2 linked regions of the Coturnix japonica genome follow. The protein of the gene in region 2 interacts with the protein of the main gene of each other region in a biochemical or structural test. Links are inferred from orthologs where the notes say so. Each region holds a gene or a part of one and is shown on either strand. Other genes may lie near its edges.

Region 1 (3,643 bases), on a different chromosome or scaffold from region 2:
CTCCAGCCCGGCCCCGCTCAGGGGGCTCCAACGTCCATTTGTGCCCCCTGGGGGGGGCTCGTCATCATCATCATCCTCACGGCTGGGGGTGAAGCTCAGCGTTAGCCCAGCCCAGGAGCCCCACGCTGGGCAGCAGGTGACACATCATGGGCCGACACCTGTCCATGTTATGTCACCCCGTGTCCCCATCTCACCTGTCAGAAGGGGACAGGATGCTAAAGTCCAGCTTCTCCTCGGTGATGAACTGGACATCTGGGGGCAATGAGGGGGGGACATGAGGGGGACACGTAGGGGGCCTCCAGACCTTATGTTAGAGGGCACAGAGGGGCTCCCCGTGTTGGGGACAGAGCCCTACCTCGCTCCTCCATCATCGCACCCGGTCAGCGAGCGGCACCAGAGCCCATGGGTGACCTGGGTGTAAGCAGGGTGACCCCATATCCCCCCACCCCCCTTAATGTCCCCATTACGGGCACAGCGCCCACTGGGGACTGTGCCAGCACCGGGTACAACGGGGCTTTGTGGCCATGGGGACAGCACGGGGCAGCACGCGGGGGGGGGGCAGAGACCCATAGCTGGGGGGCAGCTCTGCACCCCACAGCACCACAGCCTGTACCGACGGGCTCCAGCCTCACACCCTGACCCCTATGGACCCCAAACCACAGGGGTCCCAGCCCCACAACCTGGGGGTCCCAGCCCCACATCCTCCCCATGCTCTATCACAAAGGCAGCTCCCAGCCCACACCCCAATGGGCCCCCAGCCCCACACCGGGATGCTCCCATCCCCATAGTGTTATCCCAGCCCTTCTGCCCCATCCCATCCATCCCATCCCATCTTTCCCATCTCCCATCTCCATCCATCTCCATCCATATCACCATCCATCCACCCAATCCATCCAGTCCCATGCCCATCCATCCCATTCATCCATCCCTCCCATCCCATCCATTCCATCTGCCAACCATCCCATCCCATCCCCAAATCCCACCCATCGCCATCGCATCCTATCACCAGTCATCCATCCCATCCCATCCCATCCATCCCATCCCATCCCATCCCATACCCACACGTCAGGCCCCCAATGCCTACAAGGCCCCACAGCCCCCAACCTGGTGGTCCCAGCCCCACTCCCCCCCATCGGGATCCACCCCCATCCCGTTACATCCCATCCCATCCCGTTATGTCCCATCCCGTTATGTCCCATCCCATCCCGTTACATCCCACCCCCACACCCCGCCCATTCCCTCCCATTACCCGGTTCACTCCCTCCCGTGTTCGCGGCGCTTCGTCCGTTCGAATTCTCCCTCCGGTCCCACAATGGCGCCCGTCCCTCCCTCCCGCCGCGCTGATTGGCTCCGCCCACAAGCTTTGCGCGATGCTCATTGGTCGCTGGATGGGAGGGGGCGTGTCACCGGAAACACCGAGTCTCCGCTTCCGGCGCCGGTAGCGATAACGGCGGGGCAAGATGGCCGCCGTGCCGCCTGACTCATGGCAGCCACCCACCGTGTCCATGGAGACCACGTAAGGGCAGGCCTTCCGGTTTGGGGATACCCCGAGACCCCCCCCCGGTACCGGGACACCCCTCCGCTGTTGGGCCTACCGTGTTCCCCTTACACCGACATCCTTCCGGTACCGGGACCCCTTTGTGTCCCTCCTCCCTCCGGTACCAGCCCCCCGGGCTGTCCCGGTTCTTCCATCCGGGCCCCTTTTACCCCCCCTCCCCCCAGGACACCCCATTCCCCCCCACCCCAATACCGGCATCGCCCTCCGGTACCCGGAGCTCCCAACCCCGGCAGGTCCCAATACCGGGATCCCCTCACTCTGCTTCCCGGCCCCATTAACCCCCCACAACCCCTCCCGGTGCCCCTATCACCGACCCCATTACCCTCATAACCCCCCCAGCCCCTCCCGGTGCCCCTATCACCGACCCCATTACCCCCACGGTCCCCCCTGGCTCTCCCGGTGCCCCTATCACAGCCCCTCCCGGTACATCCCCCCATCTCACCCCGTTCCCGTTGTGTTCCCGTTATGTCCCCGTTGTGGTGCAGGATGGGCACCCTGGTGCTGGAGCTCTATTGGCGTCACGCCCCCCGGACCTGTAAGAACTTTGCCGAGCTGTGTCGCCGTGGGTATTATAACGGGACCCGCTTCCACCGCATCATCCGGGACTTCATGGTACAGGGAGGAGACCCCACCGGGACCGGTGAGTGCACGGACCCCACGGCCGCCCCATAGACCCAAATGGGACAGCGGGGGATCCACTGTCCTGGTATGGGGCCATTGTGACCCTCAGCTCCGTGATGGGATCGTCAGGACCTTCACAATGGGGACACTGAGACCCTAATGATGGGAGCACTGTGACCCTCAGTGCTGTGATGGGGACCCCTGCATTGTACGGGGGATGCTGGTACCCTCAGCCCTGTTGTGGGGTGGTCAGGACCCCCAGCTCAACCCTCAGCCCCCCCATAGTGATGCTGGACCCCCTAATAGTGATGCTGGACCCTCTGGTTTCACGATTGGGACCCTCAGCCCTATGATGGGGCCATGGACATCCCCAGTCCCACAGTGGCAGCACCACGACCCCCTAACAGGGACACTGAGACCCTTATCTCAGTGCTGGGGACACCCCCTGTATATAGGGACACCCCCTATTATATATGTAAGTCTTTACAGTGGGGACCCCATAGTGTGGAGCCACGATCCCCTATTGATCTCCATACCCACAGGCCGTGGCGGTGCCTCCATTTATGGCAAACACTTTGAGGACGAGCTGCACTCGGAGCTGAAATTCACCGGTGAGTCCCCAAACCCACTTTTATCCCTCCAAAAACCCTATAAACCCATCAAGCCCATTCTTATTCCTCCCTCCATCCATCCCCAGGCGCTGGCATTCTGGCCATGGCTAACGCAGGACCCGATACCAACGGCAGCCAGTTCTTCATCACGCTGGCACCGGCGCAATGGTTGGATGGCAAACACACCATCTTTGGGCGCGTGTGCCAAGGGATCGGGGTGCTGGGCAGGGTGGGCATGGTGGAAACCAACGCACAGGACCGGCCTTTGGATGATGTTAAAGTGCTTAAAGCTGTCCCTGCTGGGGGATAATGGGAATAAAATGGCTGTGGGGACGGTGTGTGGGGGTGTCTGTGGGGTGTTTGGGGGTGTGGGGTGTGGAGGAGTCGCTTCTGGGGGCACAGATGTCACCATTAAGGGCATGGAGGTGTCACATGTGGGGTGTGGGGGTGTCAGCCCTTTAGATGGCACCTATAGGGGCATGGAGGTGTCACCCTTAGGGACACAGATGTCACCCATAGGGGCATGGAGGTGTTGCCTTTGGGGACGTGGGGATGTCACCTATAGGGCATGGAGATGTCACCTATAGGGGCATGGAGGTGTCACCCATAGGGACACAGAGATGTCACCTATAGGGCATGGGGCTATCACCCATAGGGACACAGAGATGTCACTTGTAGGAGCATGGAGGTGTCACCCATAGGGACACAGATGTCACCCATAGGGGCATGGAGGTGTCACCTTTGGGGATGTGGGGATGTCACCTATAGGGCATGGAGGTGTCACACGTGGGGTGTGGGGGTGTCAGCCCTTTAGATGTGGAGATGGCACCTATAGGGGCATGGAGGTGTCACA
Region 2 (4,132 bases):
GACAAAAACATGGTATAACTACAGAATTGTATAAAGGCTTAGGTTGGGAGGGACCCTACGGATCATCAAGTTCCAACCCACAGGCAGGGCCCACCACCCTCCAGATCAGGTACTAGACCAGGTCATAACATTTGCATGGGTGGAAATGGAACAAAAGAGTGGACTGATTTTAACATGAAACACTGCTAGAAATGCTCTAGCAGCATTACTGTTCTGGCTTGTAAGAGAACAGCTGACTACAGCTTACACTTGTGAAATGGAAATACAAAGACATCCTGCAGGAAACTCTCTACAATTATTCCTTTCACAGAGAAACTTCTTTTATCACTGGCTGGATGTGCAGGCACTACAGCATGACAGGCGGTAAATGATCAAGTATTTAATTCACATGCAGGTTATTAATTACAACTTCTAGAATTTATCTGCAGCAATAAAGCAACCGCTGAAATACACAAAAATTAACCACTAGAGATTTTCATCACAAAACTGCTATTCTTGTAATTTTAGTTATCCTACCATAATTAGGTGAAGAAATTTATAAAGCTTTCCAGCCCTCTCAAGCCTGCAGCTCACAGCTTTACAATGGTACAAATGCCAAGATATCGATTTCCTTATTTTGACACAACTTGAAAACAGGACAAGCAACCAATAGCTTCGTGTTCCTAACAGTTTACTTTTCCTCTTGTTCAATTTCTTGCTTTAAAACTATTTAAGGAGCAGAATAAATGGAAGACCTCTTTAAGCAGACCATTGTGACTCAGTACTGAAGATGCAAACAGAACTGGCACACAATCGCTAAACCAATTTCAGGCTATGGTTTCAAAACCCCAGGGGAAGCATTTTCTCTAATCAACACTACTGTGCCCTTTCACCATGCTGCAATGGCTTTGATTTTGCCCAACAGCAAACCAGGTGACTTGGGTAGCTTGATCCCCACGTATTCACCATGAGACCAAACAGTTAACACCACTACAACAGACAGCATGGGCTGAGACTGGAATCATCGGGCAGAACACTTCTTTCCAGAGCAGCACATATTCATGCTTGCCTCAAGTGCACACTGAAATTCAACTTCGGTTGTTTAAAGTCTTCCATTGGATGCCCCGCATCCAGTTCAACAGTTAGATACAGAATCAGTGCTGAAATATAATGCAGAACTAAATTCAGCCATCTCTCAGGTTTTTCTACATGACCAAATCTATTAAGAATAGATGCTGTTTTTCAATTATGAGTAGATAAGCAGATGAAGCCTATACTTGCAAGCAATTACTATTCTTTGGTTTTGTCTATGAGGCAAAAAGGGAATCTTCTAGAAGTCTTTGAGATGTGCTGCATTTTCTGGCCCAGTGATACTGGAAACCAATAGAACTAAGTTAAGTCAGGTTCCCCCCCCCCCACAGCATTTAGAACAAGCACTCGAACAGTAGCTTTAGTAATGAGCACTGTAAGGAGAAAGCTGAACTATAAATTTTAATACCACATCCTTTATTAAATGCTGAAATTCCATAAAAGTATTTTACTTTAGAGAACCACTGGAACTACTGCTTTAAGTCACCTTATCTAGCACTCCCACATCTAACAAGTTTCTATCACTTAACACCCCCCAAGAGCAGTTACCTTTTGCTACCTTAAGAACACAGTACACATGAGAAGTATTCTCTTCTCTGCTATACACCCATCTACTTATTTCACCTCTAATCCAGATATGTATTTAACAAATAATGACAGAGGGTTGGTATGGGTGTCATTCTCAGAGGGTCACTACATTCAGACCTTAAACAGAAAGGACCACAGTCGTATTCCCACGTTACCATGACAAGAAACTTGGAAATTCTGCATGTAAACCTGCACGATTCTCTGTGATTATCTCAAGAAACTTCATAGTTTGACTCTACTCTGGAAAGACACACTTTACCCACTAACACAGATGTACTAATATAATATGGTGAGTTTAAACACCTACCTCTAACGTCCGCGGTATCCATCCTTTCCGGTAGCCGTATGGGGGAGGCTCCCTTCGTGATGAGACCAGAGCAGTCTGCCTGGATCTCTGCGCCCTCGCTCTTTCTTCTAGCTCGAGCTGGTCTTGGGACAACTGGGTTGGAGCTGGCAAAAAACTGCACGTCCCCAGACAGGCACCAAAAAGACACATAAAAAAACAGCTCTGAAAAAGGCGAATTCCCACAGACGAACCCGTGAGTGGTTCTCCCCAGCCGGACACCCCCGGTCTAAAGCCACACACTCCAACTCCCCCGTCCGGACCCGGCGCACTGCACACCGCCACCCCCGCGCTGCCGGGCGGCGTTCACGTCCCCGCTCGGTACAGCCGGGCAGGCCGCGGAGCCGCGCTCTCGGAGCAGCAGCTCGTAACAAAGACATCCCTCACGGGAAGGAAAAGCCGGAAAGCGACCAGGTATCCCACCAGCACCAATCCTTCCCCTCACAAAACCCGCGTTAGCTCCCCGCAGCACGCAGCGGTGCGGAGGCCCCATCGCGCTCTAGGCCGCACAAAGCGAGCAGCGCAGGCAGCTCCCGCAGGCCCGGCCCTCAGCACACCGCACCCCGGGCTGCTCAGCGACCGTGGGCCCGCACCCAGGAGGGGCCGCTCGCCGGGCCGAGCACCCAGCGCTTCCCCAGACACCAACAGCGACGAGGACGGAGCGGGGGGACAGAGGGACGCACCTGGTGAGCGCCATCTTGCCGCTGCCGACTCGGAGTTAGGCCGCGGGATGGGGGGGGGCACAGGGAAGGACGAGCGCCTCGATGCGCGTGCGCCGCAGCGGGCAGCTGGGAGTTGTAGGCACAGCGTCACAGCGATGGGCGATGGCCTTGGTGACTGAGATGTCACCTTGTGTCCAGGGCAACTGGGAGCTCTGCAGACAAAGCCGAGGATACGAGACTTTGACATGTATCGCTTATCAATAATTGTCACGAGCAGAGCTCATCTGCCATCTCTCCTACCGTTTCCTGTCAGTCATTTCTCAGCAGACTTGGTGTTGTGTGACAGCGCTGCTCCCGGTCAGGAGCCCTGTTCCTATCTGGAGCTGAGGAATGACTTGTTCTCCCTCCTGCAGTTCCTACTTCTTCCTGTGCTGTGATGTATCATCTACTGCTGTGTGGGAAACACACAGCTTTGGGGTCTGTTTTGCAACACAACCTGTAAGGCAAACACAAACTCAAACAGACCATGATCTGGAAGACTGTGTCCAGTTCTGGGCTCCCCAGTACAAAAAAGACAGGGATCTCTCGGAAAGAGTCCAGCGGAGGGCCACAAAGATGGTGAAGGGCCTGGAGCATCTCCCCTATGAGGAGAGACTAAGCAAACTGTTTAGCCTTGAGAAAAGAAGACTGAGAGGGGACTTGATCCAGGTCTATAAATACCTGAGGTGTGGGAGGCAAAGCGGCGAGGCCAGACTCTTTTCAGCAGTGTGTGGAAACAGGACAAGGAGAAACGGCCAGAAACTGGAGCATAGGAAGTTACACATGGATGGGCACAAGAACTTTATAGTGCAGGTGACGGAGCACTGGAACAGGCTGCCCAGGGAGGTGGTGGAGTCTCCTTCTCTGGAGATATTCAAGACCCGCCTGAATACCTACTTGTGTGACGTGGTGTAGGGAACCTGCTTTGGCAGGGGGGTTGGACTTGATGATCTCTGGAGGTTTCTTCCAGCCCCTACGATTCTGTGATGCTGTGATTCTGTGAAGTGGGAGCGGAGGTTAAGTACAGAATGTGTTGTCCTGGAAAACTCCCAGCTCTGTGAGCTGATCATTTCCATGTATCTTCATGTATCCCCTAGTTTGTTCTGGGCTTTGTGTGCACCAGACTTAGTAATAATTCAGATATACCAGCTCTGGTGAATTCTTCTTTGATAAGAAGAAACAATAAGCAAGGGATGGATCTGAGATCCTTAAACCCATTTTTTTTCCCAAGGATATGTATCCCGATATGTATCCTTAGGAAAGAAAGATTCATTCATTTTTCTTTTACCATTATCTTTTTTTGCTTAGCATTCCTGGGCAGGAATGCTATCAGATCTCCACGTGCATCAATTTCTACAAGTTGACCAAAATAATCTGGATGGTGAGTAAAGTGTTGAGGCACTTCATCCTTGGCTTTGCTGTCAGTGGGGAC

Evidence for each region. The genes of interacting proteins can lie anywhere in the genome.
Region 1: the proteins of SNW1 (region 2) and PPIL1 form a complex in vitro, tested with the Homo sapiens proteins (2 studies listed by IntAct, with this or other methods). The link is inferred for Coturnix japonica from reciprocal best matches to the Homo sapiens genes SNW1 and PPIL1.

The regions. Positions count from the first base shown.
Region 1 is NC_029541.1:1,560,112-1,563,754, forward strand, and holds PPIL1 (peptidyl-prolyl cis-trans isomerase-like 1), read left to right. Parts: upstream 1-1,460; coding exon 1,461-1,516; exon of another isoform or gene 1,517-1,534; intron 1,535-2,043; coding exon 2,044-2,198; intron 2,199-2,721; coding exon 2,722-2,790; intron 2,791-2,876; coding exon 2,877-3,100; 3' UTR 3,101-3,128; downstream 3,129-3,643. Other genes in the region: PSRC1 (proline/serine-rich coiled-coil protein 1), read right to left, coding at 1-82, 356-411, 1,250-1,507. UniProt on the Homo sapiens protein: Involved in pre-mRNA splicing as component of the spliceosome. PPIases accelerate the folding of proteins. Catalyzes the cis-trans isomerization of proline imidic peptide bonds in oligopeptides. Catalyzes prolyl peptide bond isomerization in CDC40/PRP17.
Region 2 is NC_029520.1:35,703,033-35,707,164, forward strand, and holds the start of SNW1 (SNW domain-containing protein 1), read right to left. Parts: upstream 2,802-4,132; 5' UTR 2,697-2,801; coding exon 2,683-2,696; intron 2,118-2,682; coding exon 1,964-2,117; intron 1-1,963. UniProt on the Homo sapiens protein: Involved in pre-mRNA splicing as component of the spliceosome. As a component of the minor spliceosome, involved in the splicing of U12-type introns in pre-mRNAs.